2 linked regions of the Lepisosteus oculatus genome follow. The protein of the gene in region 2 purifies or fractionates together with the protein of the main gene of each other region. This does not show direct contact. Links are inferred from orthologs where the notes say so. Each region holds a gene or a part of one and is shown on either strand. Other genes may lie near its edges.

Region 1 (14,987 bases), on a different chromosome or scaffold from region 2:
AGACAGCCATATCTAAGCCAGCCTCTCTGCTGCATTGAGGCAGCCTTTCTTCCTGCTACACTTCCAATCAGCCTGCATTATTACTTCATCTCTCATTAAGCCTCACTCCCATCGAGCCTTCCCAAAGATTCCCAAGGCTCCTCTGTGAACCTGTGCTTGGAGCTTGGCTTCTCATTCGCCACAGCCCCGAAACACCAGGGACCGCAGCATAACAAAGATCTCATCCAGATGTTTCTTGAAAATAAACAGGGTATTGGCATCAATAACATCGCTGGTCAGCTTCTCCCTATAGTGTGTGAATTCAGGGGCAGTGTGAGAGGAGATGGACAGAAGTGTCTCTAGCAGTGTCTCCAGTCCAGTCAGGGGTGTGTCAGTGTGTGAATTCAGGGGCAGTGTGAGAGGAGAGGGACAGCAGTGTCTCCAGTCCAGACAGGTGTGTGTCAGTGTGTGAATTCAGGGGCAGTGTGAGAGGAGAGGGACAGCTGTGTCCCCAGTCCAGACAGGTGTGTTGGTGAATTTCTGTTCCTCTTGACTTGACTCAGAGCTTACCATTTCTCACAGGAACTTCTGCTGTCTAACAAAACCAAATTCCTGAAACCCCAGGAAGGCTTAATCTGGAGATAAAATTACAATGTGGGTGGGAGATACTGACACATGGTTTCCCTGTCTTAGCAGTGGTTGAAGTCAACATCTCACTGTCTGAAGAAAAGTCACCATCCTAGAGGTGCTCCAAGTTTGTGGTAAAATCTGCTGAAGAGGGAGGGAGGTCATCATCCTCAACAGCTAACTGCAAAGCCTCAGACTCAATACACATCTGCACTACACACTTTTGGCATGGTCTACCATGTTTTTGTTCTCACTACTACATATTTATTTTCCCACAACATATTTATGGTTCCTTTTGGTATTATGTATTATGGTTGTAATGTACTGTTCTGTTGACAGCTGCAGTGCAAATAAGAATTCCATTGTATACCGACATATGACAATAAACTCCTCTACTACTAATATCACAGGCACTGGAACATGCAGGTAAGTCACAGGGGTGAATAGGGGCTCATTAGTGGGAGAGACAAGAACTCATTGACCCAGACATCTGTGTCTAAAGAGATTTACTTTCAAAATTCACAGCCAGTGAAAGACAGGTTCAGAGGAGTCAGGAAACAAGAACACAAATCTTTCAGAAGTACTCTCGACAGAACAAGAAATCGGTGGCAATGTTAAACAGGAAGAATTTTGAATGAGTTAAGATTAGCCACTGGAAGATCTTTTATGATGTGACAGTTTTGTACCTGCAGAGTTCCTTTGGCAGGGACATGCAGATCTGCCTCCCCGACTCATGAGCTAGACGTGAATGAGGTTCCTGAAGAAGACCTGCACTCGAGTCCCACCGAGCTGAGAGGAACGTCTGGAGACGAAGTCAGGACAGCCCCAAAGACGAATACGACCACACCTGCTTCATACCACATCCCACAGCACCTTCACCTTCCCTCCAGTCCTCCTCATCTTCATCGCAGGAACTTAATGACGGGTGAAGGAGGTTCCTCTGGCAACCCCAGGACCCAGGGATGATGACCTTGGTGTCCTCCTCTTGAACCTGTGCAGCTAGTTCCCCCTCCCTCTTCCAGATGTTCACAGTGCAGCCTGGTCCTGTGCTCACTGAGGTCCTCCATCCAGGCCGTGTTATGTCTTTCTTGACAACTTAAATAACGGCGTCCCAAACATTAAAAAGACCTTAGTCGGAAGGATACAAGATTATATACACATAGGACAAATTATATTTTATATTATATATAAACAGATTTGTATTATATAGACAAATCTATGAATTGGCTTCATTACTCTCCTCCCCACTGAGAGCTGGTGTGTGGGGAGTGTTCTGGCGCACTATGGCTGCTGTCGCATCATCCAGGTGGGGCTGCACACTGGTGGTGATGGAGGGGATCCCCATTACCTGTAAAGGACTTTGAGTGGAGTGTCCAGAAAAGCACTATATAAGTGTAAGGAATTATTATTATAATTATTATAGGAACAAAATGGCAAGCAATAATAAGATCCTTCATCAATAATAGTTCCTTGCACTTTATTTAGCACTTTTCTGGACACTCCACTCACAACGCTGTACAGGTAATGGGGTCCCCTCCACCACCACCAGTGTGCAGCCCCACCTGGATGATGCTCCAGTCCTCTCCTCACACACCAGCTTTCAGTGGGGAGGAGAGCAGAGGGATGAAGCCAGTTCAGAGACGGGGATTATAAAATGAAAACTCACGCCTTTCTCTTGCACTAGAAGCCACTTTTAATGGACGTTCCAGACATCATCCCTGATGCACAAAATCACTTCAACAAAAGAAGTTACTGCTATTCTGCGATTTCTGTACAAGCTATCCCGAAAAGAAGGAATCAATCTGTTTCTTCTTCTTTCAAACCCCCAGGTGTGACCGAATGAGAGAGGAAGAGAGTGATCACCCCACTGCGGGTGTGTTAATTGGCACGCATGTCAAAATAAAATCACAACTGGTCGAGGCCGTCAGAGGCTAGAAGGGCCGAGCCAGGAGTATTTTCAGTTTCCAGTTGCCTTATTTTTAATTAATTCCCAAGTCCAATCCCAGCTCCCCATGTCGTCACACACGCTGGGGAAAGGGAAAACTGTGAAGAGTCCAGAGCACGTTTCCAGCGGAAAAGCTCGAACCGACCCGAGCTCCTGCCTCCTCCTGCCCTCTTCCGGATGGTGCCGGCCTCCTACCGATCCCGGAATCCCCCGAAGAACCGGGAGAAGATGGAGGCATCATCCTGCATTCCTGAGGAGCCCGGGGACACGCCTGCACAGAACAGAGGACAGGCGGGATCAGGCAACACAGGAGAAAAACACCCAGACCCACCAGCCCGGACAGACGAGCCTGTGAGTCTGGTACCAATTAATCCGGGCGCTGAAAATGGAAACAGTGGGATCAGACTGGGAGGCTGACCACCCCTGTGCAGGCCAAACCCAACACCGCCGTTTCTGCCCTGGTGCGTCCTAGTGAACACTCCCCCTTTCCTCTGTTGCTGTCCCTGGGGCTCACTGAATCCTACTCAAGGCACCACTATGGCACCACAAGCTCAGCCTCTCGACAGCCACAGCTGCACGGCAACCCCACATCGCTGCCCCAGAGAGGACAGCAGGCCGGGGCAGGGGCAGGGGCAGGGGCAGGGGCAGGGGCAGGGGCAGGGCCACGTCCCCCGCCCCCCAACATCCCACACCACTGCATCGGCAGTCTACCCAGGGAGGGGTGGCGGTGGGGGGGGGGGATCACTGACCGGGCTCTGGGGGTCCCTGCTGGATCTGGGGGCTCCTGTCTGCCGGGCCGGAGCGGGTCACTGTAGTCTCCTCATTGCCCTGGCTGTCCCTCACTGTGCGCCTCTCCTCCACGGTCTGCAGACACATACAGATACAGTGCATCAATATACTATATTAATAATGTACTGTTCACAATATACTATATCAATACATCAATAGTGTACTTGTTACAATATGATATATTAATAATGTACTCATCACAATATACTATATCAGTACATTAATAATGTACTGTATACAATATAATATATTAATAATGTACTGTTCACAATATACTATATCAATACATTAATAGTGTACTTGTTACAATATAATACATTAATAATGTACTCATCACAATATACTATATCAATACATTAATAATGTACTGTTCACAATATAGTATATCAATACATTAATAGTGTACTGTATACAATATAATACATTAATAATGTACTGTTCACACTATACTATATCAATACATTAATAGTGTACTGTATATGATATAATATATAAATAACGGACTATATTAATAAAGACAGCAGCAGTGACAAGACAGGGACGGGCTCTTTCCTTGAAAGAGCAGCTGTACGTGCTGCACACGAGTCCTTTCAGCACAGTTACTAAAGACGGAAGCGAGGAGGTCTCTCAGACAGAGGGGGCACAGCTAGGGCTGGGTTCGAGACGCTCTGGGGTGAAAGGCGCTATACAAGACTGAAACAGATCGCCTGCCCTACCCCGTCGGGGGACACCACTTTGGTGACAGTGACGGACTTGAAGAAGGACTTGGACTTAGCCCTGGGCTGCGCGGGAGTCAGGATCTTCTCCAGCCCCTCCGAGGAAACCTGGGAGTCCAGATCTGCAGGGAGAGGGAGAGAGTCAGGGAGAAGAGGGAGAGGGAGCGAGGGAGAAGAGTGGGAGAGGGAGGGAGCGAGGGAGAAGAGGGTGAGTGAAGGCTGAGAGGTGCCTCGTGTCACACGGGCGGCGCCGCTTCTCCTGTGGCCCGGCTCAGGCCTGACCCAGGCCCGACCCACCCCGACAACAGGCGGCTGTGGCCAGGAGCTGAACGGGGGACGAAATGGGAGAGGGCCGGTGGTCATTTTTTTTCTTGCCCCCAGCTGGGGTTAGCAGCTGCCCCAGACCCGTCCTGTGGGATGATGTCACTGCGAGGGGCTGCAGTCCCCCCCCCCCCCGAAAAACCAAGAGAGGAGGAGACAAGTCTAACCACACCCAACCACACTCCCACTGCGACACCCGAGACCTGGGTTAGAACTGGCAACACCCACAGGCCTCGTGGGGCTGAGGGTCTCAGGGGCCCCCCCACCCCACCACACCACACCCCTCAAGGTCTCTTACCTCCGTCCTGCTTCAGGGGCTCCCCCTCTTCCGCCCTCCACAGGCCCCCCCGCCAGACGTCATCGAACTGGGAGAGGAAGAGGAGGGAGGCTTAGTGACCCAAAGCCCATCAGAACATCAGGGCTTGAAGAGGATTAATACAACAGGCACTCCGAAACGACTCTTCCTTCAGCACTGACCCCTGACCCCTCCGTCCGCTCATCCACGCACCCCTACTGCCCCCCTCCACCCCACCCCACCCCGCCCTGCCCTGCCCACACCAGCAGCGCTGCAATCGGGTGCAAGAGAGAAAAACCACAACATCCCCCTTCATCCTCACAATCACTTCGGATCGCAACATGATCATAGTAATTATTATTATCATTATCATTATTATTGAGGCTATTATTATTATTATTATTTTCTAAAGCACCTTTAAAAGTGGCTTCCCAGAAAAGACACACGCACAGAGAGGAGACAGCAGAACTGCGCAGTGACAGGGAGGGAGTGGAATACAGTAGGACAGCACAGGGGCAGCGGACACAGAGCCAGGTCGATCAACACCCTCCTGAAGAAGGGCTCTCACCTTGGAGAAGGGCCCTGAGGGGGGCTCCCTGTCCCCCTGGTCAGAGGACGGGGTGCTGTCGGGGTGTCTCAGCATGAAGTCCCTCGGAGACCTGCCGCGCTCCTGCCGCCCCGGCGCCTCGATACTGGGGATCGCTGGGGAGCAGAGAGGGGAGAGAGCATGAGGATCCGGTGGGGAACTAACAGGACACATCCAGGCAGCAGGAGGGAACAGAAGACACCTGCACTGTACAGGAACACAGTACAGTACGGGGTGCAGTGTGCTAGGAACCAACACATCACACGCACACGCATGAGCACATCCACACACGCTTAAGCACACCTATCCACTGGTTCCTCATCCATCCATTTTCTAAACACTTCAACCAATTCAGGATCATGGGGGAGCTGGAGCCTATCCCAGCAAGCAACAGGCAAGGCAAGCTACACCCTGGACAGGACACCAATCTATCAGACACACACACACACACACACACACCCTGGACAGCACAGCAGTCCATCAGAGGACGGACGGATGGACGGACAGATGGATACGCACACGCAACGGACAGGACACCAGTCCATTGACGGACACACAGCCACACCTTGGACAGGACACCAGTCAATCAGAGGGCACACAGACCCTGGACAGGACACCAGTCCATCAGAGCATAGACAGACACAGACACTCACACCAACGCCATGTCCCTCAGAAGCCAATGAACCTTCTATTGGGTGGTTGGACTGTGGTAAGAAACACACTCACAAAATCAGGGAGAACATGCAAACTCCTCCCAGACAGTACTCCAGGAACTGAACCCTGGGTGTTCACGTCTTTAAGGACTGCAGCACGCCACCCCCACCCGAAGGGGCGTCGCCAGGCGGCTCACCGAAGGGGGTGGAGCTGGGCAGGCCGTCCCAGCGGCCCACGCCGGCCAGCAGCTCCTCCACCTCGCGGAACAGCTCCCGGAACGCCGCCGGCTCCTCGAAGTGCATCCCGCCGGGGCCGAAGCTGAACCCGAACCGCAGCGCCTCCTCGTCTTCGCCCTCGTCGTCGTCGTCATCGTCATCATCTCGCGTCATGCCCTCGAAGAACGGGTCCCTGGAGCGCCAGAGGAGGGGGGGGGGGGGGTTGACAGAGAGATCAGCGCCGGCGTGTGGAGGGATTGTGGGATAGCGAGAGCACGGAGTTTACACCGGGAAGGCGAAAGGGGCGGCACGGTGGCTCCCAGTGGTCAACCCCGAACCCGGGGCACTGTCTGTGTGGAGTCTGCATGCTCTCTCTGGAGGCTCATATGGGTTTCCTCCAGGTGCTACGCTTCCTCTCGCAGTCTAAAGACATGCTGCTGGGCTCTGGGGCAAATCAGCCCTGGTGTCAGTGTGAGAGTCTGTGTGTCCTGCGATGGACTGGTGTCCTGTCCAGGGTGTGTGTGTCTGTGTGTCCTGCGATGGACTGGCATCCCGTCCAGGGTTTGTGTGCGTCCGTGTGTCCTGTGATGGACTGGTGTCCTGTCCAGGGCGTGTGTGTGTGTATGTCTGTGTGTCCTGCGATGGACTGGTGTCCTGTCCAGGGTGTGTGTGTCTGTGTGCCCGGCGATGGACTGGTGTCCTGTCCAGGGTGTGTGTGTCTGTGTGCCCGGCGATGGACTGGTGTCCTGTCCAGGGTGTACCCCGCCTCGTGCCCTTTGCTTGCTAGGATAGACTCCAGCTCCCCTGTGACCCTCCCTGTCCTGGATTAATCGTTTAGAAAATGGATGGATGGAGAAAAATGTGAAAGGACAGGAAACAAGGAAGAGGGAGACAGCAACAGAGGTGGGGAGAGGAGGAGGAGGAGGAGAGAAGAGAAAAGAGGCCGGGCGCCCTCTAGTGGCGGAAACTTTACCGGTGTGTTAACGTAGTAAAACATCAACAAGAAGCAACAAGCAAGCAAATATTTAAAAAAAAACAATGGAAAATAATTTAAAAAATGCAAAAAAGCTTTCTTCAAAGCGGCTCCATCGTGGTTTCTGAGTAACTGAAATGTTAGACGTCAGCTAAAACCTAATAAGCAAACGGCTAACAGCTCGTGGGGTGCTCAGTCTCTAATGGACTTGCTCAAGTGACGAGTGAATTACTCAGTTATGTAGTTATTCCCTTCCGATACTTCAGAGCGGAATTGTTCTCGGCAGTCTCAAAGTTATTTGTGCTACATAATTAAGTCCAGTTCCAGAACACTAGACGTACACAACATGAGCAATACTTTAAGAGTCTGTCGTCATCCTCGTCAGTAACGACGGAATTACCAGTATTAGGGTCTTGATAACGCACCGAGATGATATAACCAACAAAATGTCGTGTATTAGTTCACGTCGGAATTTGTAACTTTAGATAACCGGTATTTCCAGCCGTGGTTTCCCTTAAAAGCGCCTTTCCAGGCCGTTTTTAAAATATTAAAAATAACACTTCAAAAGTAAAGCATTTTCAAAACAGGGTAAACATCTGTTTGACAACTGCAATACTAACTCACCTCCGTCTATCTCCGGGGTAACTGCCTCTCGGGAACCCGAAAAAACCGCGAAACAAGTCAAACAAGCTCATCTGACAGATTTCCTTTTAAATAAAAAATCGTCTTTGTGGCTTAATACTTTATTTTGGCATAAAGCTCTTGCTCGCTTCTTCTTACAAGGACGCGGAGAAGGAAAACGAACGTGCCACACTGCCGTAACTGAACTTGGCCGTAATGACACACTGCCGGAAAGTGACGATTATTGCTGTAAGTTACAACGCGGAGGGCACGGGCGGTGTGTCGTAAACATTACAGCACAAAAGCAAGCTAGAGGCCGAGGGGGGGTGGTGTAGGAGTCAGCGTTATTCACAGTGCTCGAATCTGGTTTCTGATTAATCACTGGAGAAAAATCCCGACGTACCGCTTCAGCCAGCTCAAAGAAAAAAAAGGTTGCCTTACAGGCAAACAACCTGCTGTTCGTTCACAAGCATGTGCAGTGAAGAATGTGGCTGATTAATTCTCATTAAGTTTGAGAACGGACACGAGGCTTAGACTACAGCTGTTCACCACATTTGTACTGCACTGTACTGTGCTTTTACCCTGATCTCACTGGGCTTTACTGCACTGTACTGTGCTTTTAACCTGATCTCACTGGGCTTTACTGCACTGTACTGTGCTTTTACCCTGATCTCGCTGGGCTGTACTGCTCTGTACTCTGCTTTTACCCTGATCTTGCTGGGCTATACTGCTCTGTACTGTGCTTTTACCCTGATCTCACTGGGCTCTACTGCACTGTACTGTGCTTTTACCCTGATCTCACTGGGTTGTACTGCACTGTACTGTGCTTTTACCCTGATCTCACTGGGCTCTACTGAACTGTAGTTTGATATTCGTATAAAATGAACGTCGTAGATGGAGAAAAAGTAACACACAATCCAAAACTGAATTACAACACATTTATTTAAAGCAAGCACAAAAGTTTATAATTAAGATTTTGATTTTAGGGGACGTTAACAAGATATTATTAACAAGCCATTTTTTTTGTTTTTTTAAGATTGTTATACAAAATGTTAAAAGATGCTGAAACATGAATTGCTGCAAATTCTTGTCCCCCTCTTCATTCAGCTGCTCTGTGTAGCTTCCTGATTTTCTGCCTGTGTTCATGTCTGAATCTTATCACTGCTCTCTCTGCCCTGAATTCCTCTCTCTCTCTGTGCCCTGAACCCCTGTCTCCCCTCTCTCTCTGTGCCCTGAACCCCTGTCCCCCATGTGCTGGTTACAGGGCCAGACAAGCTCATCCCTCTCTCTTCCTCCTCTCCCTACAGTCTGCAGGGGCGCTGCAGTAACACCTCCACCGGCCCAGGGGGCAGCATCTTGATCCAGTTCCAGGCCTCCAGCCTCCTCAAGCCCCGCAGGCTCCGACCTTTCACCTCCAGGACCTCGTCTCCGGGGAGCACCTGGTCGACGGGGCCGCCTGGGAAGACGGGCAGGAGACAGGGAGACAGGAAGACAGGAAGGAGGGAGGGAGGGCAGGTGAATAAAAAGTGGGAGGGCCAGGAAGGGAACATGACAGCAGTGCGCTAAAGTGACGCTCGGGAGCCTGACGTTGCCCGTCGGCGTCTTACCTGGGAAGACCTTCTTGACGGTGAGGGGCCTGTCCCCCTGGTTGGACCCGCGCCCCCCCTCCAGGCTGAAGCCCAGGTCCGAGGAGCTCTTGGTGAGGATCAGATGCACGGTCTTCCCTGGCTGGGCTGCAGGGATGAACCACAAGGAGGCCATTACACTCCTGCCATTACACATCCTGTGGTAATATGACATCTATTACATAGTAATATGACATCTATTACACAGTAATAAGCCCTAATTCCCTCACCATATTACACTTTCCTTTATGCACTGAAGGGGGTAGCGTGGAGCTGCAGCTAGTGCTCTGAACCTGTTTTCAAAAGGTTGCGGGTTCAAATCTGGCCTGTCTCATTATGGCGCTGTACTATCCTGCCTTCACAGCCCTATCAGTGGGTACCCACACCAGTGGCTGGGGTGAACCCCTAAAGGAGGAAACCTGTACTGTTTATTCCACTGAACACCTTAGAAACGGGGATAAATCCTGTTTCTAGGAGCCACTTTGACCAGTGCGGGTCTCAAGCAAGAACATGCTTATTACACTGTCGTGCTCACTGTTACAGTGAAATGTAGTTACAACATAAATGATCATTCCTTGCGCTTTTCTGGACACCACTCAAAGTGCTTTACAGGTAATGGGGATCCCCTCCACTACCACCAGGGGACATTTGGCCTGGACACCAGGATTAACACCCCTACTCTTTTTGGAGAAACGCCCTGGAATTTTTAATGCCCACAGAGAGTCAGGACCTCAGTATTATGTCTCATCCGAAGGACGGCGCCTTTTTACAGTCTACATAGTGTCCCAGTCACAATAATGGAGCATTAGGACCCACACAGACCGCAGGGTGAGCGCCCCCTGCTGGCCTCACTAACACCTCCTCCAGCAGCAGTCTCCCATCCAGGAGCTGGGCAGACTCACACCTGAGCTCCAGTGGGCTGCCAGCTGCCATGCAAAGGAGCTGTGTGGGGCAGTTGGGTCCGCGGCCTGGTTCTGGTCTGGATACCCACCGTCACCCGTGGGGAGGCCGTGGGGCTGGGTGCCCTGGGGCTCGGCGGTGGCGGCGGGGGTGCAGGTCCCCTTCCGGAGCACCACGATGGCCTGCTCTCGGGACCTCGCCCTCCGCAGTGTCCGCAGCGCCTCCCAGTGGGCGGCCGCCTGCAGCGCAGTGCCGTTGATGGACAGCACGCGGTCGCCCTCGCGGATGGAGCCTTCCTGGGCCGCCAGGCCGCAGGGGAACACCCGGTGGACCTGCGGACACAGCCGGACGCTCCCGTTATTACGGTCCGGACCGGCCGTGCGCAGGGAGCTCACTGCCCCCTGGCCGGACAGCGGAGTGCCGAGCCGTGGACACTGCGGGGTGCGGGGGGGAACCACATCTGGGCCCAGATGCGAGACGTGACAGGGGACACAGCAGAAGACAAGAGACGGACGCAGAAGCTGGGAGACACTCTGACACAGAGTCACGCAGAAGGATGAGGAGACAGAAACAGTTTCCACTCATAGAGAGACACACAGAGACAGTGTCCACTCACAGCCATAGAGAGACACACAGAGACAGTGTGCACTCACAGTCACAGACAGACACACAGAGACAGTGTGCACTCATAGAGAGACACACAGAGACAGTGTCCACTCACAGCCATAGAGAGACACACAGAGACAGTGTGCACTCACAGTCACAGACAGACACACAGAGACAGTGTGCACTCACAGTCACAGGCAGACACACAGAGACAGTGTGCACTCATAGAGAGACACACAGAGACAGTGTCCACTCACAGCCATAGTGAGACACACAGAGACAGTGTGCACTCACAGTCACAGACAGACACACAGAGACAGTGTCCACTCATAGAGAGACACATAGAGAGTGTGTCCACTCACAGCCATAGAGAGACACACAGAGACAGTGTGCACTCACAGTCACAGGCTTGTTCTGATCCACTCCCCCGGCCACGGTGAAGCCCAGCCCAGAGCCCGCCTCCTTGTGCAGGACCACCACCTGGATATCCTCACAGTTCTGAGAGCGAGGAGGAGGCAGAGACGGGGAGATGAGGCCAGAGAGTAGAGAGTGTGGGAACAGCAGGGAGAGAGAAAGAGAAAGTGGACATGAACAATTCTGTACAGTACATGCTGTGAGTCCGAGAATTTTCGTAATATACACGCGTGCAGTAATACTTTGTCTGATTTCTCACAAAATTTCTTTACATCCATGGAGATATGTTTTGCACACATAGAGAGACTTTCAAAAGCTCTCGGACGGCACAAATAAATGCTACATAAAAGACAACGTCCCGTGCCCAGTCATTGTGCTCCACTCCTGCAGGAGTCCGGGAATCGTGCACGTGCTCACGCACACACGTGCGCCAGTGCACCAGTAGGTGAGGCTTGTGCACGTGTGGGCGGGGACATGGGCGGGGCTTACCGCCAGGGTCTCCTCCCCCGCCGCCCTCACGTCGTCCAGCAGGCTCTCCAGCTCGTCGTGAGGGATGATGGACACCATGGACAGGGCGGAGGACATGCTGGAGCTCAGGGAGGCGGAGCGGAGCGACCGGCTGTCCTCCGCGTCGGAGTCGTCCCAGTCGTCTGCGCCCCCCAAGCCGCACAGGTCCGCCAGACTGGGGGGGGAGAGAGAGGGGGGCTGGTGAATAGGGCCGTGTGTTTTTCTCCCGTGCGTGACACGTTAAATGTCGTCAGGCGAGGGGAAGACACAGCACTACAGGAAGGGTAGCAGGTGCCTGGAACAAGCTGCCCAGCTGTGTTGTTGAAGTGAGAGTCCCTGGATCCTTCAGTAAATGGTTTGTCATTTTCTCACTGTTTCATCCAGTACAGGGTCACGGGGGAGTCAGAGCCTCTCCCAGCACTCACACTCACACTCACACTCACACTCACACTCATACACCAGGCCCAGTTTTCCCAGAAGCCAGTTACCCCACCAGCCTGTCTCTGGACTGCGGGAGGAAACCCACGCGGACTTGGGGGGGGAGAACATGCAAACTCCACGCAGACAGCACCCCAGGAATCGAACCCAGGTGTCCCGGTGCTGTGGAGCTCCAGTGCAAACCTCTGCACCACCCCGCTGCCCTAGAGCACTGCACCCCATACTGGATGAAAAACCCCTCTTTTTTCTTTTTCCCCGGTGGCTATCCAGATTGCGGATGACCGGGGGGGAGTGGGAAGCAGACATGCCCCTCTCCCGGAGCGGGCATCTCATCCAAACCCAAGCTGCCGGGATGATGATGAACAACCTGAAGTGGAAATCTAATAAGTAAATTGATTCTTAAAATGTAGAGAGCTTTGCAAAAAATATATTGGTGCTTTTAGATAATATATTTCAAGGATGTAACTGCTGTGCTACAGTACGTGCAGAACTTTAGAAAACAGTGCGTCAACAAAGTACACTGTTTAGGTTACTTTAGAAGACAATGTACCAAAACAATATATGCTGTCTGGGTCATTAGAATTAGCTGAAAGTAACTGATAAGCTTTGAATAACAAATCTAGTGCTTCTTCTCTCGCTCTATGATGTAATCCATTTTGTCTTAGGGAAAGGGGACGTTTTAGAAGGGACAAAGTGCTGAGCTTTTTTACAGCGCAACGTCTTATGAGATGTTTTCTTATTGCCGTGTGTGACACACGGAGCTCACAGGGGTACTGCCTTCAGAAACCAGACACCTTCCCCACAGCCTACCAGGGAACGAGCCTCTTCAAGACACCCGGCCCCCGGCCACTGACCTGACGGAGAAGCTGCGCCTGTCCGACTGGCTGAAGCTACTGGTTATCGTCAACGAAGAGGAGCCGGAATCCGAGCGGTCTGAATCCGTGTCGTGGCCCTCGGAGCTCTCGGAGCTCTCGGAACGGGAGTCTTCCTCCTCCGAGCTCCAGCGCCCCCAGGTGTCCCGGGATTCGGGGGCCGCAGGTGGCGGCAGACGGAGGCTCTCCCCGGTCTGGTCCGGGGGCCGTGGCAGTCCGGGGGAGCACGTCCGCGGGAACGGGGTTTTCCCGGGATGGGGCTCCCGGAGGAGGCCAGAGGGGACCAGGTCCGGGAGGTGACCCGCTGGCCTGGAAGGCGGAGCGAGGCCGGCGCGGGCGAGCGGACTGGGAGGCAGCCCGTTGCTGGAGTTGTTGTTGAAATTGCCTGCGATGGGGCCCAGGGGGAGGGGCCCCTCCACAACAAGGGGCGACCCGGGTTCGGAGGTGTCCTCCTGGGGGGCAGCAGCCGTCCTGCTGTCGGGGACGGTGGGTTTCGGGGCCGGAGAGTCGCACTCGTCCTCGGTGCCAGTTCTGGGACGGCTACCCCTGGGATCGGACCCCGCGGGTGGGCCCCCCACCCAGGGGTCTCCTCCTCCGGCTTTTTCCTCCCCGTCCGGATCTGCCGGAGGGTTTCCGAGTCGGGGCGCGCTGTCGAGCGACGCCGATCGGACCCACGCCGCCGCCCGCTCCTCGTCCCCCCTCCTCCAGGCGGGCCGTCCCCTCCGCTGGGGGTCCGCGCCGGGGGCCGTCTCCGAGAAGACCCGGGCGGCCCGCTGGAAGGAGGAGGATGGGCCGGGCCTCTGGTCCGGCTTCGGTGCCGGGCTGTCCTTCCGGTGGGCCAGGGTCTCAAAGCGATGGATCTTGTTCCGCACCGTCTCCGTGGAGACAGCAGTGTCCCGGAAATCCGGGCGACTCCCCCCTTCTCCTCCTCCTCCTCCGGATCGGGACTGGGATGGCTGAAACGTGGGGGGTCTCTCCTGGATCGAAATCTGTCTCCCCAGATCCGAGGCGCTGGCGTGGGAGCGATACCTGGATTCATCCCAGGGTTTCCTCGGCTGCTCTCTCTGTTGGGAGAGGACCCCGCTGTTGGGGCTGCGCTGGACCGCGGTCACCGTCCTGGTCATCGCTCCGGACACGGGGCCGCGCTCCCAGGAGGGGCCGTGTGTCACGGGTCTCACCCGGGCGGGGTAGGGGCCCCCCCGGTGTGTCCTTTCCAGCAGCCGGGATGGCACCCCGGATCCGAACACGGAGTCCCTGCTGCTGCTGGACGAGGACGAGGACGAGCAGGACGAGCCGGAGCTGCTGCCGCCGCCGGGCTGGAAGCCGCGCGCCGTCGGCGGCCCGGGACGCCCTGCGCCAGCCGGGATATTCCCAGGATCCCTCAGGCTCGCCCCCCGGCTGGGTTCCTGATCCCGAGCCGCGGCCTGGTCTGCGCTGCCCGGCTGGAGGCGTTCAGAGACGTAGTTTCCAGACGTCCTGCCCGCGCCCGGGCTGGCATCCTTGTCCTGGACTGCGCCGGTGCCGGTGGCGGCGCCCGGGTTGGGCGGCACTCGGGCGGGCCGGTCCTGCGCCGGCGAGGGTCCCCTTGCGTGGACAGGGGAGCCCCTGCGGGGAGCCTCCGCCATGCTGCCTCTGGCCACGGCTTCGGCGAAGGTGGGCGAGGGCCGGCGTGGGCCGGGGTCGTCCCTGCGGGCCCAGGCGGTGCAGAAGCCCGGCTCCGGCCTGATCCGGGCGGGGAGAGATTTCCCGCTCCTGGTCCTCTCCGCGACGATCAGGATCTTCTGTGCTCCCTTCCCCACGCTGCCCCAGAGCGGGCCTGGGGCCGCCCCGCCGGACTTCTGCTCCGCCCGGCCCGCGGAGGACACGTAGGCGTCGGCGCCGGCCTGGTCCGAGCCCCCACCCCG
Region 2 (14,993 bases):
TGCCTTCCCGAGGCAGCGCTGGAATGCCGTGGAGGCCACGGAGCCCGTGGTGTCATTCTCGGGACAGCTGAACAGCGCCGCCCCCGCGGCGGGTCCAGGGGCTGCCGGGCAGTGAGGTGCTGCCCCAGGGCAACCAACCCCTTGGGCATTTTTGCCATTCAAGATTGTTCCTGCTGATCCTGCTCTGTACTTGAACTCCCTCTTTGTAGCCAGACATGTCAAAGCAGAAAAGCCACCCTTCTTACCTCTCACTGCTGCGCCCTGCCTGCCAGTCAAGACAGCTGTCTGCTCCAGGCCTCCCTCTACAGAGCTGGGTGTGTTCATGGCAACCCCCCGACACGGACACACACGGACACACACGGACACACACGGACACACACGGACACACACGGACACACACGAGCTCCAAGCACAAACCATGTCCAAGTCCAGTTTAACTCTTCAAGTTTTATTTTCACACAAATACAATCTACCACCTGTTAAAAGGAACAACATTCAGCAAACTGAATCTGGGACTAGTACAAGACTGTGAGAGTCCCTAGTGCTGTGAGCTCAAAGAGTGGAACGCAGCCGGAGACACGTTCCTGGAGACGAGGGGGATCACGCGGCCTATGGCAGCTCAGGGAGAGGAGCCGCCCTGCAGCATGCTGGGAAAGGCAGCTGTGCTGAGAGCCGTCATGGCGGAACTTTCCTGCGGACAATGATGGAGGACCAGAGGGCCCCCCAGACCGCGTGCATCGGGCTGCTCAGATACGGCGCCCCCCGGCACGCGCTTCCCACAGTGCCGCTGCTCCGCGGCTGGGACACCACACCCGACCCCGTCGGCCAGCAGGCACACGGGCAGGCTAAACCAGCCCGGCTGACGTGGAGCGCCAACAAGCAGAGGGCATCCGCACGCGCCCCAGCCCGCCGACCCGCGGTAGCGCACGCTGTCAGAGGCAGGCCTGCCGAAACCACGGCCCTGAGTGGCTCTGCCCCCCAGGAGCCCCGTCCCCGCGCCATACCGCGGCCAGCGGCCCAGCGGGCGAGACTAAACAGCCAACAAACTCCGGCACTGTCCTTCTCCTCCGACGAGACGCACTAATAAAACCTCACAGCTGGCCCTCGAGCACACCGCGCACGATACGTCCCCCTGGCCTGGACCCCAAACTTGACGTTACCCCTCCTGCACTGACACTGCCCTCCCCTCGACCCCGAGCAAGGATCGGCCAAGGCTGGAACGGCTCCTCCGCACTCCTGCAGAGCTCTTAGTTACTTACTGTTCTTTTCTTACATTTAATTGATCAAAAGTTCTTCTGAAGCTGGAGACTTCGAGCACTCAGCTTCAGAAGTCAGGAGCAAGGAGCTGTAAAACGATGATGACTGCTGTTAAAGGAAACGGGCGAGTCCGGGGGGGGCAGGGCGAGTCGGGGGGTGCCGGTCGCGGACGTGTCCCCCTCCGCCTCCTCACGCGACAGGGAGCAGCACCTTCTGGCTGCTGACGATGTCACTGAGCTGCCGCTTGATGTTCAGGAAGTGGCGCTTGAACTCCAGGCCGTCGCCCTGAACATGGGGAGAGGGAAACGTAGTGCCGCATTTGTGAGACTGTCAGAACCGAGGAGCGAAGAGATCCTCAACCCGCGAGCAGTCAACAGAGGCCCCTTTGAGCCACACGGCCCGGGTCCGAGCTCACCTTGGACAGCCTGAAGTCCATCAGGATCTTCTCTTCCATTTCCAGCAGATGCACCTTGAAGATCAGCTTGTTGTTACGGCGATCCATTGTGGAGACGGTTACCTAGGAGACAGAGTGATGCGACACGGGACGCAAGGTCATGTGACCATGCTTCAACACTCATGACATGTTTAGATAACACCAGCCTTAACCAGCCCTGACAGCATCCAGGCAAGGATAAATGGTGTTGACACTTTGTGTTTGCCAATCACAGTGATAAGTGATGACATTATACTGAAGATCATTTGTAGCACCAGCATCAGAATCACATACACCATTTCTACCAGTGTGTTATTTACCTGAAGGTGTGACTGCATTAAAAAACAGTCTTTTAGGAAAAATCATCACTATTTTAAGATTAAGATGTACAGCAAAATTCTGATTTCATATTTTTATCAAATGAATGCACTGTGCAGCTAGAGTCCCTCCCCCCTCGGTACCTGATTGGTGCAGGTCTGTTTCCTGAATGCACCGTGCAGCTACAGCCCCGCCCCCCTCGGTACCTGATTGGTGCAGGTCTGTTTCCAGGTGTAGCCCATGCGCAGGCAGACCTTGCGCAGTGTAGCGCAGGATTGTTCTGCCTCCAGCGTGGTGAAGAAGCGCGTCATCCTCTTGACCAGCCGCTGCCAGGGGGTCTGACAGAGAGAGACATCATGCCTACAGTGTGCTGTGACCCGGGTGTCCCCTGCGCGAGCGCCCGTCCCCTGGGCGGCGTGTGCTGTGACCCGGGTGTCCCCTGCGAGAGCGCCCGTCCCCGCGCGGCGTGTGGTGTGACCCGGGTGTCCCCTGCGAGAGCGCCCGTCCCCTGGGCGGCGTGTGCTGTGACCCGGGTGTCCCCTGAAGACCTCACCTGGCTGGACCCTGGCGTTCCCAGCAGCTGGCTGCCCAGCAGCATGTGCTCCGGGCAGGCCGGCTGGGAGAAGCTGATCTGCTGCACCATGGCCTGCATGCTCCCGGGACTGGACTCCCAGGACGACGCGCCTGTGACCGGCTCGGGCTGGGAGCTCGAAAACTGCACCCTGTCCTCACTGAGGAGGACACCGGAGGGACAGGGAAGGAAAGGAGAGAGAAACGTCTCCTGAATGAAGTGTCCGGAAAAGCGCTATACTAGTGAAAGGGATTATTATTATGCTGTAAAAACAAATAAGTAGCTTTTTCTTGGCCACAGTCACAATGATTGCAAAGCAAGGGCTTCTGATAAGTGAGAATTAGAGACCATCTTCACATGCTGTATGTGGGGAAACACACAGCTCAGCTGCAGTGGCCCATCAGGACCCGGGGGGGAGAATGGCCCTCCCCACCACGCGCCGCGCCTCGCCACGCCACCACACTGACCTGCCGGCCCGGCCCACCGGGACCCTCTCGGAGTCCGAGCGCAACAGCTTGTGCCCCAGGCCCGGGGAGTCGCCCTGCCCCCCGGAGGAGAGAGGAGGCCGCTGCGCCCCTGAAAAAAACAACAGCGCGTCACCGCCCCGTCGCGGTCGGAGCACAGCCGGTCCGGAGCAGCAGAGCCACAGCAGAGGACGGGAACACAACCGGATCGCTTGGAGAGAGCGGGTCAGCGTGCCCCTCCTGGCTCCTGGGAGCAGAGGTCAGCAGCTCTATCTCTGGCCGCCCACTGGAGCCCAGCAGTGAGAGCCTGGCCAGTACCTGGAGGGGAGGAGTCCGTGGGGCCAGCAGGGGGCGCTCACCCTGGGGTCTGTGTGGGTCCTAATGCCCCAGTACAGTGACGGATGAGATGTAAAATCGAGGTCCTGACTCTCTGTGGTCATTAACAATCCCGGGGTGTTTCTCAAGAAGATTTGTATGTGTTTCTTTGCTATAAAATACTATACTATAAAATGCTATAAAATGTCAACAGCCTTGAGTTAAATTTTTCTTCTCCTAAAAGTGTCTGCTCTGCTACTTTGGACATTAATATGTTGATATATCTTGCTAGCACCTATATCACCCTGCAGCTCCCGGCTGGCAGCCCCACTGGAGCTCAGCAGTGTGAGCCTGGTCAGTACCTGGAGGGGAGACTCCTGGGAGAGCTGAGGCTGCTGCTGGGAGAGGTGTCAGTGGGGCCAGTAGGGGGCGCTCACCCTGGGGTCTGTGTGGGTCCTAATGCCCCTGTATAGTCATGGGGACACTACACTGTAAAAGGCCTCCTAATAACCCCCGTCTCTGAACTGGCCTCATCACTCTGCTCTCCTCCCCGCTGAGAGCTGGTGTGTGGGGAGCGGACTGGAGCATCATCCAGGTGGGGGTACACACTGGTGGGGGTGGAGGGGATCCCCCCGACCTGTAAAGAGCTCTGAGTGGAGGGTCCAGAGAAGCGCTATAGCAGTGTAGGGAGTTACAATTAACACCATTACTAGCACTGGGCAACTTCTCCCCACAAAGTGCCTCATAAAAACTTTCAAAGGAGGTTGTTTTCTTGAAGTCACCCTCTCGATCGGAACCGCACCTGACTTGCAGCCCCTGGTGAACCAGTGGTCCTTCTTGATGTCCGGGATGGCGATGCGGCTGGCAGGGTCGTGCAGCAGGATCCGGGTCAGCAGGCCTGCGGTCAAGCAGAGACAGGGGGCACACCCCCCAGGATTGAGGGCCGGGGTTCACTGGAGGCTCCACCCCGTAACGCAACTGCGCAGTAGTCCGAGGACTTTGACAGAAAAGTATTAAGACACAATAAACTTTGAGAACGATGAAACTCCTCCACCACCTCGACAGCTCTCAGGGCGGGCAGACAGAAGAGCCTTACTGAGCGGGGCCGCGTCCATCTTCTTCCAGGGCGAGAGGAAGGTCTTCCCCTGCAGCCAGTCGGAGTACTCCTGGCAGGTCTCGCTGGGCTGGTCCCACGGGAGCTCTGCGGCGGCACAGCGACGGGGCGCGTCAGACTGAGAGGGCAGCACTGCAGTGCCACCGGGGGAGACGAGCCTCCGCCGTCCCACTGACCCCCCGGGACACACACACACCGGACCCCCCCTGGGACACACATAGTCACCCCTGACACACACTGACCCCCCCTGGACACACACACCGGACCCCCCCTGGGACACACATAGTCACCCCTGACACACACTGACCCCCCCGGGACACACATAGTCACCCCTGACACACACTGACCCCTGACTCCACTGTCCCACTGACCCCCCCAGGACACACACACTGGACCCCCAGGACACACACACACACACACACTGGACCCCCCCCGGGACACACACACACTGGACCCCCCGACTCCACTGTCCCCCTGACGGCAGCACCTGACACAGGCCCGCGCTCTCACCCCCGGCCAGCATGGCGGTCAGGACGATGCCGCAGGCCCAGACGTCCCCGGGCTGCGCGTGGAAGTCCGCCCGCGAGAGCAGCTCGGGAGCCACGTAGGGCAGCGTCCCGCACAGCCGGGACAGAAGCCGCTCCCGCCCGCGGTGCCGGAACATGGTGGCCAGGCCGAGGTCGGAGATCTTCAGCTGGTCTGGGGCCAAGAGGACGGAGGAAACCATCTCAGTGTCACCAAAACGCCCCGCGTCCACTCACAGCCTTCAAATCAGGCTGTACACTGCCCAGCAGGAGCCACACCAGAGGCTGGACGCCTCTCGGGGACAGGCCGGGGACAGGGGGGGATTAGGGGGTCGGTACACTGTCAGGACCCAGCCCAGCTCTCACCTCTGTCGTCCAGCAGCAGGTTCTCCGGCTTGATGTCCCGGTGAGTGATTCCTATTCCATGGAGGTACTCCTGTGGAGCGCACACACACACACACACACAGTTATCCCAGCGCACTGGAGTCCACGAGCCACAGTGACGCCTCCCTCTCCGCCCCGCGGCCCCCGAGACGCACCTCCCTCTTCAACCTGCGGCCCCCGAGACACTCAAGCACGGCCCCCATCGCTGCAAGGACTGCTGGGATCGCTGTGATCGCTCAGCACGCCTCTCACGCTGGCTCGGCACACAAGAGCCGCTGACCCCCCCACCCAAACGAAGGCAAAAGGAAGAAGGGGGACCCCCGGACCAGACAGCCCAGCCGGGGACACCCCACCAGCGCGGCGCTGAAGGACAGACTCACCACGCCGGCAACCAGCTGCTGGAAGAACCTGTGCGCATCTCTCTCCGGCATCCCCACGTCCGGCTCTGAGGGAGGGAGGGAGAGGAGGGTGAGGAGAGTGAGGAGGGAGAGGAGAGTGAGGAGAGTGAGGAGGGAGAGGAGAGTGAGGAGAGTGAGGAGAGTGAGGAGAGTGAGGAGAGTGAGGAGGGAGAGGAGGGAGAGGAGGGTGAGGAGGGTGAGGAGCAGGAGGGGCGCCTCACCGATGCGGTCGAAGAGCTCGCCGCCGCTGCAGTACTCCAGGAAGATGTAGTGCGTGTCCCCCTCACGCCGGTGGCCGTAGAAGCGCACGATGTTGCGGTGGCTGAGCATCTTGTGGATGCAGATCTCCTTCTTGACGTTGTCCGCACAGTCGGCCGCCCGCGAGGTGTCCACCACCTTCACCGCCACCGCCTCCTCCGTCTGCCTGTTCACCAGCAGACGCACCCTGGCGGCCAGAGAGCACACGGGTGACCAGTCGCCCCGCTGAGCCCGAGACGAGCCCCCCTCCCCCCGCCAGCTGCTCCTGCAGCCCAGGCCAGTCGGAGATCAGGAGAAGCACGCACAACACACACTGGACAGCACACACTGGACAGCACTGCCTCCGGCACGCACGCACAACACACACTGGACAGCACACACTGGACAGCACTGCCTCCGGCACGCACGCACAACACACACTGGACAGCACTGCCTCCGGCACGCACGCACAACACACACTGGACAGCACAGCCTCCGGCACGCACGCACAACACACACTGGACAGCACAGCCTCCGGCACGCACGCACAACACACACTGGACAGCACTGCCTCCGGCACGCACGCACAACACACACTGGACAGCACTGCCTCCGGCACGCACACACAACACACACTGGACAGCACTGCCTCCCGCACGCACACACAACACACACTGGACAACAGTGCTTCACCCAGCCACAGAAACTGGGCACAGGCAGACCCGACCATGCAGAGAACACAGGCTCACTGACCACAGGCTGGACACAGGCAGACCTGGCTGTACAGAGAACACAGGCTCACTGACCACAGGCTGGACACAGAAACATTTCAAATCCCAATGTGGGCTGAAAACAAGTCCCCCAGTCCTGCAGTGTCAGTGAGTCCGCAGGTCCGACAGCCTGCAGGACCATCGATGGACACCGGCCTGAGGCGTTCACAGTTACTGCTGGCACATCAGGCCCCCGGCGAGCCAGGGCGCGGTACTTACTCTCCATAAGCCCCCTCTCCCAGCGTCTGCACCACGTCCCAGTCCTGCACGAAGGGCACGGCCATGTCCAGGGCTCAGGGACACACACACCTGCTCGCCCGGCCAGACGAGAGCAGAGACAGTCAGAGCACCTACAGGCGCCAGCGGTATCACACACAGCTGCACCCCTGACACACCGGCCACTGCGGCTCCGGCAAGACAGCACCCTCACCAGAACCGACACCCGCCCCGGGCTCCGGTCCTCTCGGAACCAGAACCGACACAGGGACACCTGGAACACGCTGAAGAGCCCGTCCGGGCCGCGGCGCACAGCAGGGAGCTTTTAGAAACGCCTTTGACTCGGATCGAAAAGGCGCTGCGCTTCGCACCCAACTTCTCGACAGACTGCAGCAGTCCGCATCACGGCAGACCAAGGCGATCGTTGCCCGTATTTCGGATTTTTTTAAAATCAGTTTACCCCTCCGAAATAACTGCACGGCCGCGCTTTGGCGCGCTCCGGTCTCAAATCTCCTCCACGCTCCTTCCGCTCTGGGCTCACGCACTTCCTGTTGACGTCGGCAGCAGGGGAGATGGGCGACATGCGAATGACGTCAGCGGGACGACTCTAATCCGCCATCTTGCTGTTGGGTGACAGCGCAGCGTTTTCAAAAGCGAATGAAATAGCGCTTTGTTCACTAGTACACGTTTCCGAGATGTGTTTTTTCGGGGTCGTGACGTCAATCAGCCCCCCTATAATGTCGTAGGGAAACCGGGCCGGTCTCATTCGTTAGTGCTGCGTTTGTGCTGCTTCCATTCCCGAGATATAGCGCCTTGTTTTTCCTGTGATCAAGTGACCATGCACGGTGCCTTTGACCTCCAGTGACCCCGTCTGCGGACCATGGCAATATTGGAAACATGTTTTTTATTTTCACATAACAGAAGCGAACTTATATCTGCATTTTTTAATAAACTCATTAGCCGTGTGTTTGTATTTACAGGAGTCTTATGCGCAAATATGAAGCGATGAGCTCACAGTCCTTGTATCTTCGTGTTTCCGGCCAGTCTTGGTGTAGAATACAGCGTGAGGGCACACCTGCCCCCTGAAGACACAGGTGTGGGCGCCTGTGTTAGATCCTCAGGTGAAGTCGAGTCTTATGCAGTCTGCGATGTACTGACCCAGACATGTTTGCTTGTCCTGCTCCATGAAGGTTCCCACCCGCCCGTCGAACAGCACAAACGACGGTTTGTGTTGCTGTAATTAGCGTTTGTGCTGCTTTCGTTTCCGAGATATAGCGCCTTGATTTCGGGTAATCACGTGACCATCTACAAGGAAGTTTACAGGTACCAACAAACTCGGTGCTTGAACTCCTGATTGTGATGAAAACAATGGGGGCAATGGGGGCCAGGCAGGCAGGACTGTTTGACGGCTCTCTGAACGATGGCGCCGGCCGCAGCAGTGTCCCCGACCCTCTCTGGGGGATCTGTTGGGAAGTCCTCTCCAGCCACGGCCTGCCTCCGCTCACAGAGGACTCCCAGCTGAGGACTGGCAGGAACAGGACCGCAGCGGGTCCCGTCGGTTCCCACATGGCAAGCACCATGTCAGCCTGTAGACTTACTACATCGCGTCTGCGGGGAACTGAACACAAAGCTGAAATGCCTGTATCCCAGGCAACGAACCACCAGCAAGCAGCAGGAAGCTGAAGGCTGAAGGATGGTGCTGCACAGCAGGACAGCTGCTGTAGGGTCACCCGCTGTGCCCCAGGGCAGAGAACAGGCCAGACACCAGGGTTCAGTTAAAAAAGCCTTCTCTCTTTAATCATCCCCTCCCCCGATCACAACAGGACGACTATTACCAGAGCCACAATGGAATTCACTGTACACAAGTCCCGGGTTTGTCCCATAATAATACAACTTCTTTTTTTACATTATACAAGTCCCTTCAGGTTAGGAGGTCTTCAAGAAGAAAAAAAAAACAAACAAAATCATGTTATCCTCTTTTTGCGGCCTGCAGGGCGTCCCGTCTCCGAGATGAGAATCCATCGCTAGGCAACGGCGCCCAGCGCGACCACAGAGCCGAACGAGCCGCGCCGCGGGAAGACCACCATGGAGAAGAGGGTCGCTCCGTCTGCAAGCGAGAGCCCCCCGGTGGTCGCCGGCCGCAGGCGGGGCTCCGGGCAGCTCAAGGGCGCTCGCTCTCTGCGCCCCAGAGGCTCGGACAGGACACGCGCTCCTCCTCTCCATACCCTGCACGGGGAGCCCCTCAGAAACAGGGCAAAACGCACCCCCTCTGCTCCTGGGGGTGTCTGCAGGCGAGAGGCATCTCGGGGCGCAGGAGGAGGGAGGGGGGAGTCTACCGCAGCGACATCTTCACTCCGGCTCTCCGCAGCCCTCGGACACAGAAAACGTCCAACCTTGACCTTCTAAGAAAATAAAAGCTCTAATATATTACACCGAACCTCCAACAGAAAAAGCCGCACGGATGCGTTTTATCCCTGGAACCCAGCGTCCCGTTCTTCCTGCCCTGCGCCCTGGGTCAGGGCTTGGCGATGTGGACCTCGCTGGCGCCGCTGCCGTTGGTGGTGGTGGTGATGATGTACTGCGCCGCGGGCTGCTGGGCGGCGGCCTGCTGCTGCGGCTCCAGCTGGTCGGGGTGCACGGGGGCGCTGCTCTGGGGAACGGCCGCCTGCTTGGGGTCCAGCTCCGCCTGCCCCTCCGAAATCACGTAGTGCGTCTGCAGGAAGAGGGGTGGGGGGGTCAGACAGCCGTCTCAAGCAAAAGCCTGAGCCGCACAGTCCAGACACCTGGCGCCTGTGACCGGGACTCCCAGCGCCCTGCTGCCGGCGCCCCGGACCGAGGCCTGCTGCCGTACCCTGCTGTCGCCGAGAGCTGCACACACTGCAGAGGGAGTGCCTGCGATACAGGCGTCAGCGAGGAGCGGGAGGCGAGGCCCACAGCAGGAAGCTCAGGGCTGAAGGATGTTGCTGCACAGCAGGACAGCCCGTTTAGGGGTCACTCGCTGTGCCCCAGGCCAGACAGAAGGCTTTTTTTAACCAAGCCCCGGTTCTTTAGTCATCCCCTCCCCTGGAGATGGGGACAGGATGACAGGGCTCCTCCACTGGGTGCCAACCCTCCTTCAGGCGCTGCGGGGCTCTCCGCAGGCCAGCGTGTCGGAGAAGGGCAAGGAGGAGGCCTCCGATTTTAACAGCCGTCTCGGGGGGACACAACCCAAATACCTGACAAACCCTCCGGAGCCACCGACTTGTAAGAAACCTGCTGCACGTTCGAGTGACATCGCTGTGACAGGGACACCTTCCACAGAAGACCACCCCCCCCCCGACTCGCTCGGATGTCAACAGGCCGAAACCTCCTGACCTGGGACATGGTTTTGACCTGACCGCTGTTCACCGCGCTCACTGGGGCCCCGGTCTCGGCGATCACGTACTGGGCGTGGGGGAGAGTCATCATCTGGATCTCCGAGGCTGGACAGAAGAACGAGAGAGGAATGTAAAAAGCCTGGAACAGGGCTTTGAATGACACCGACCTTCTCTTCACCCCCTCGACCAACAGCACAATGTGTATCGAGTACGGTCAGCACCGGTCAAAGATGACAAGATGTACATCAGCACTGGGGAAAACCAACAGGGCGGCCCAAGATCTTTTCCGGTTTCTCAGTCCAGTTACATTCTTCAAATTACAGGGAAGGTTTGGGAGCGACACCGAGCCCGAGGACAATCCTGTTGGCTCGTCTTCACTGCGAGAAGATCTCTAGCTGGGGTACAGAGGGACTCATGCTAGAAAGTGTGCTTCAGCAGGTGGGGAGGACATCCCCAGCTACAAGTCACGATCTCGAAGATGCCATACAGCTTTCGAAAAAGACACAGACTGCCACTACACTTAGGAAACAGAGGCAGGGTATTTCAGCACTTTTTCATAAAACGGAGCCAGCTGTCCATTCTGGAACACAGAGATATTTTCTAATCCCAGGGGCCGATCAGTGAAAAAGGGCTCATTCGGGTCGTGAAAACTATGACCAGCGTGTTGCTCTCCCCATTCTCTCTCTACACGGTATTCCGGACTCTGGAGCACTGCCGCACACAAACACGGAGTGCATGGTATGAGCACATGACATGCGTGTGCTTATAGCAGGGTCTCCAGTCCTGGTCCTGCAGGGTTTCTGGGTCCCGACAGCAGCGGAGGGGATGGGAGTGATCACCCACAGGCAAATACCGGCAACCACACCCACCCTCCAGGGCCAGGGCTGGGGGCCTCTGTATGAAACACGAATATGTCCAGCCCAGTCACTCACAGTAGCCCCTGTAGTTCCAGTTGCTGGGCAGGTAGGCGTGCTGCACTGCCCCCTGCTGCTGAGACGAGGGTGTCTGCAGGGTGTGGCTCTGCGCCAGGGTTACCGGGGTGACGGTCTGTAACTGGGAGGGGCTCAGCTCCTGCGTCGCCTGCTGGGAGGAGGGGCTAAGTGGCTGCCCAGCTACCTGGGAATAAAAGGGAGAAGAGTCTTTAGACGAGCTGGCCAATCCTGAAGAGAACAGGACCTGGCTCCCTTGAACACCCTTAACCACAGCTTTTCTAATCATGCACACAAACATCTTTACATTTCTTTGTATCAAGGGTTTCTTGTCCCAATTTCTGCCCCAGTTGACACGGTACTCATCTGATAAAAGAGCAGCACAAACTGAAGATGCTTTAAAGCCATAAGTGAATCTTCAGCAAAGAAACTTCGATGACAACGGTTCCCAGCACATGACCTGCCCTGCTCTGGCTTCAGATTACAAAACGCTGCTCTCTCCACTTGCTGCGAGGCCACACTGGTCTCTCCCGGCTGGGTTCACTGCCGACGTTCGGCACCCAAGCCCCGGCACTCCCAGACCACACGAGCTGCATCGCGGACGAACGACATCGGAAAGACCAGCCAACCTCCCGCCCTGAAAAGACACAGAAGGGGCACACCCACGAGGCACCCCTCTCGCAAGAGGACCCGAATCCCAGCGGGAAGGTGCGAGTTTCCCCCTGGCCCCGCCCGGGCCGGTTACCTGCGCGGAGCCCTGCGCGGAGCCGGCCGGCTCGGCCAGCTGGATGTGCTGCACCTGGATGGAGTGCTGCGTGTAGCCGTGGGGCTCGTGCAGCTGGCTGACGTCCACCGTGGAATGCTGGGAGGTGTGCGGAGAGGACGCCTGGGGGGGGGAAGACAGGGTGCAAACCTTCAGAGGAAAACTACCAACAGGCTGCGCGGCATGTTAACTCCTTATACATCTATAGCGCTTCTCTGGACCTCCACTCAAAGCCCTTTACAGGTCATGGGGATCCCCTCCACCCCCACCAGTGTGCAGCCCCAGCTGGATGATGCTCCAGCCCTCTCCCAGCTCTCAGTGGGGAGGAGAGCAGAGCGATGAGGCCAGTTCAGAGACAGGGCTTATTAGGAGGCCATGATGGGTAAAGGCCAGGAGGAGATTTGACCAGGACACTGGGGTAACACCCCTACTCTTCTCGAGAAACACCCCGGGATTGTTAATGACCTCAGAGAGTCAGGACCTCGGTTTTATGTCTCATCTGAAGGACGGGGACACTATACTGCAAAAAGGTGCCATCACAACAATGGCCCATCAGGAGCGCCCCCTGCTGGCCCCACTGACACCTCTCCCAGCTGCAGCCTCAGCTCCGTGGGCTGGAGGGGCCCAGAACAGTGTCCCCCGCAGCGGGTCACGGCGAGCGCCCCTCACCGGCGCCACCTGCACGACCTGCAGCTGGATGTGCTGCGGCTGGGCCTGGGAAACGGGGATGTACTGGATCCGCTGGTAGTCCCCCTGGGGCGTCCGGTAGTCCGAGGTCAGGGTCTGGGAGAGCTCCGTCATCGCCTGCGTCAGCAGGTCTGTGGTCTGGGACGGAGACAGAGGCACAGTCAGAGGCGAGAGACGCAGAGCTGCAGCCCTCCACTCTTCCTCACTTCAGTTTCGTGCACGCGGTTCCCATCTGGGAGAGTACCGACACGGTCTGTCTGAAACGGACTGTAAGGAACCGGGAAATACTCGAGATCTTGAGTCGCGGACACTATTGAATACTGTACTGACGATATACAATACAGTCATTCACGCTACTTGGAAATCAAACGACTCTATATCTTCTTAGATATTGATCTCTGCTCTAAAATCGTCTGATAAGGTGCTCAGTCTTTTGGAAAACGAAAACGAGTTGTTTTTTAAAATTCTTTGAAGTAACTTACTCCAGCGGCTGATCATTTTAACTCCCTGAATTGACATTTCTTAATTAACATCCCTTTGTTTAGGAAGCGGATGAGCTGACAGCCAGCAGTGTGTGTGTGTGTGTGTGTGACCCCCCCCCTCCTCACCACCACAGCCTCTGTGGTGGAGCTGTCGCTGGTGATGACGGCCGGCGTGCTGCTGATGATGGCCGTGCCCAGAGGCGTCTGGATGGTGTTGGCCAGCTGTGCAAACTCGGGGTGCTTCTTCCGGATGTGCTGGACCATCTTGGTCTGCGGGAGAGGAGGACACGGAGAGAGACAGGCATGGTCAGAGGGAACGTCTCCAGCTCCAGCCATTCAGGACGCAGATTCCCAGGATGAGCTTCTCGGGTTGATGACATATTTCATGACGGCCCGCCGAGACTGCGTGGAGACCCGGGTGGACTGATCCCGACTCCTCCACACAGCGGAGCGCAATCAACTCAACCACCTCCCGCTGGCAAAGGGCACAAGGGTGCGAGCCGAGAGCAGGGCAGTGGCTGCGAGCTGCAGCCTTCAGCAAAGCACAGACAGGTCAGCTCGCAGGCCCAAGGGGCACATTCGGTACCTTAAAATCTGTGCTGCCTGCACACCCTGCGAGCCACGCCATCCGTGGGCAAGTACTTAAACCTGAAACAAGGCGCTCCTGCGCTCGAACGGGGGTGGGTGTGGAGAACAAGGCCTGGGTGGGCCGGCAGCGCCGCTCACGGTCAGGAGACGGGAACGAGGACTCGTGGTCTCGCCATGTCTGGGCGACAGGGCGCACTGCCGGACTGGCGGTGTAGCCATCTCGGCAGGACGCTGACCGTGTCAGCACTGGGACTGGAGCACGAGCCTCCTGGCCTCCCGACACCGTCCAGCCGGGAGCAGGGAGGCCGGAGGGGGATGCCTCCCGAGCCGGCTGCAGGCCCTCACCTTGCTGCTGTACTGCTTGGAGCAGTGTGGGCAGCAGACTGGCGCGGTGGCGATGGTGCCGGTCAGCTGCGTGTGGGTGCTGAGCATGGGGTCGGGCTCCCCGGGGCCGGCCGGCCGCAGCTTGCGGATGCTGGGGGGCAGCTCGGCGCCGGGGTGGTTCTTCAGGATGTGGGCCTTCCGCTTGCTGGCACTCTTGTACACCTGCCGGAGAGGCCACAGTCAGACGAGCAGGGAGAACTGCTTCCGGAGCCACTCCGGACTCCGGGATCTTCGGCGCAACACGGGCAGAGAGAGAGAGAGGGACAGAGCCGCGAGAGAGCACCTTGTCGCAGTACTGGCAGAAGTAGTCTCTGTTGGGCTTGATGATGGGCAGGGTGAGCTCGGGCACCTCGTCGATCCTCATGTCGGGGTGGCGCTTGGACAGGTGGTTCACCTGGAGGGGCGACACCAGGAGTTTCAGGGACCCTCTCGGACACATACCTCCCCTCCCCTCGTGACACAGCAGATGTGGGGTGTTGATGGATTTTAAACAACCTGCTTCTCCCCGACAGGCCCTCTTGCCCCCTCAGACACGCACACACGCCCGCGGGGCCTCACCAGCATGCCCCGGCGCCGGAAGCCCATCATGCAGAGCCGGCACTTGAACATGAAGCTCTCGAAGTCCGTGGACGGCACCTTCTGCTTCAGCGTCTTGGAGCGGTGGATGCGGTCGGCCTTCTTGGCCTCGCGCTCCGGGTTGTGCATGCGCTGCATGTGCTCCCGCAGCTTGTCCTTCCTCTGGGGGCACGGGAAACAGGAGGGGTCACGCTGCCAGCTGGCCCACTTCCTGTCCTCTTATCCAC

The links.
Region 1: the proteins of chek1 (region 2) and hax1 purify together in Homo sapiens (affinity purification with mass spectrometry; 3 studies listed by BioGRID and IntAct, with this or other methods). This does not show direct contact. The link is inferred for Lepisosteus oculatus from reciprocal best matches to the Homo sapiens genes CHEK1 and HAX1.

The regions. Positions count from the first base shown.
Region 1 is NC_090722.1:5,806,828-5,821,814, reverse strand, and holds hax1 (HCLS1-associated protein X-1), read right to left. Parts: upstream 7,939-14,987; 5' UTR 7,796-7,938; coding exon 7,725-7,795; intron 7,423-7,724; exon of another isoform or gene 7,333-7,422; intron 6,321-7,332; coding exon 6,109-6,320; intron 5,375-6,108; coding exon 5,241-5,374; intron 4,743-5,240; coding exon 4,676-4,742; intron 4,179-4,675; coding exon 4,057-4,178; intron 3,416-4,056; coding exon 3,301-3,415; intron 2,823-3,300; coding exon 2,743-2,822; 3' UTR 2,276-2,742; downstream 1-2,275. Other genes in the region: pro-interleukin-16, read right to left, coding at 9,023-9,177, 9,329-9,454, 10,338-10,578, 11,252-11,350, 11,756-11,948, 13,066-14,987. UniProt on the Homo sapiens protein: Recruits the Arp2/3 complex to the cell cortex and regulates reorganization of the cortical actin cytoskeleton via its interaction with KCNC3 and the Arp2/3 complex. Slows down the rate of inactivation of KCNC3 channels. Promotes GNA13-mediated cell migration.
Region 2 is NC_090718.1:15,708,755-15,723,747, reverse strand, and holds chek1 (serine/threonine-protein kinase Chk1), read right to left. Parts: upstream 7,529-14,993; 5' UTR 7,462-7,528; exon of another isoform or gene 7,095-7,461; 5' UTR 7,070-7,094; coding exon 7,005-7,069; intron 6,224-7,004; coding exon 6,000-6,223; intron 5,826-5,999; coding exon 5,761-5,825; intron 5,433-5,760; coding exon 5,363-5,432; intron 5,172-5,362; coding exon 4,983-5,171; intron 4,560-4,982; coding exon 4,455-4,559; intron 4,257-4,454; coding exon 4,161-4,256; intron 3,156-4,160; coding exon 3,047-3,155; intron 2,740-3,046; coding exon 2,562-2,739; intron 2,347-2,561; coding exon 2,215-2,346; coding exon of another isoform or gene 2,191-2,214; exon of another isoform or gene 2,152-2,190; intron 1,775-2,151; coding exon 1,673-1,774; intron 1,543-1,672; coding exon 1,447-1,542; 3' UTR 433-1,446; downstream 1-432. Other genes in the region: uncharacterized protein, read right to left, coding at 246-324; prdm10 (PR domain zinc finger protein 10), read right to left, coding at 9,517-9,714, 10,356-10,462, 11,290-11,473, 12,032-12,172, 12,719-12,874, 13,345-13,488, 14,152-14,352, 14,474-14,584 and 1 more. UniProt on the Homo sapiens protein: Serine/threonine-protein kinase which is required for checkpoint-mediated cell cycle arrest and activation of DNA repair in response to the presence of DNA damage or unreplicated DNA.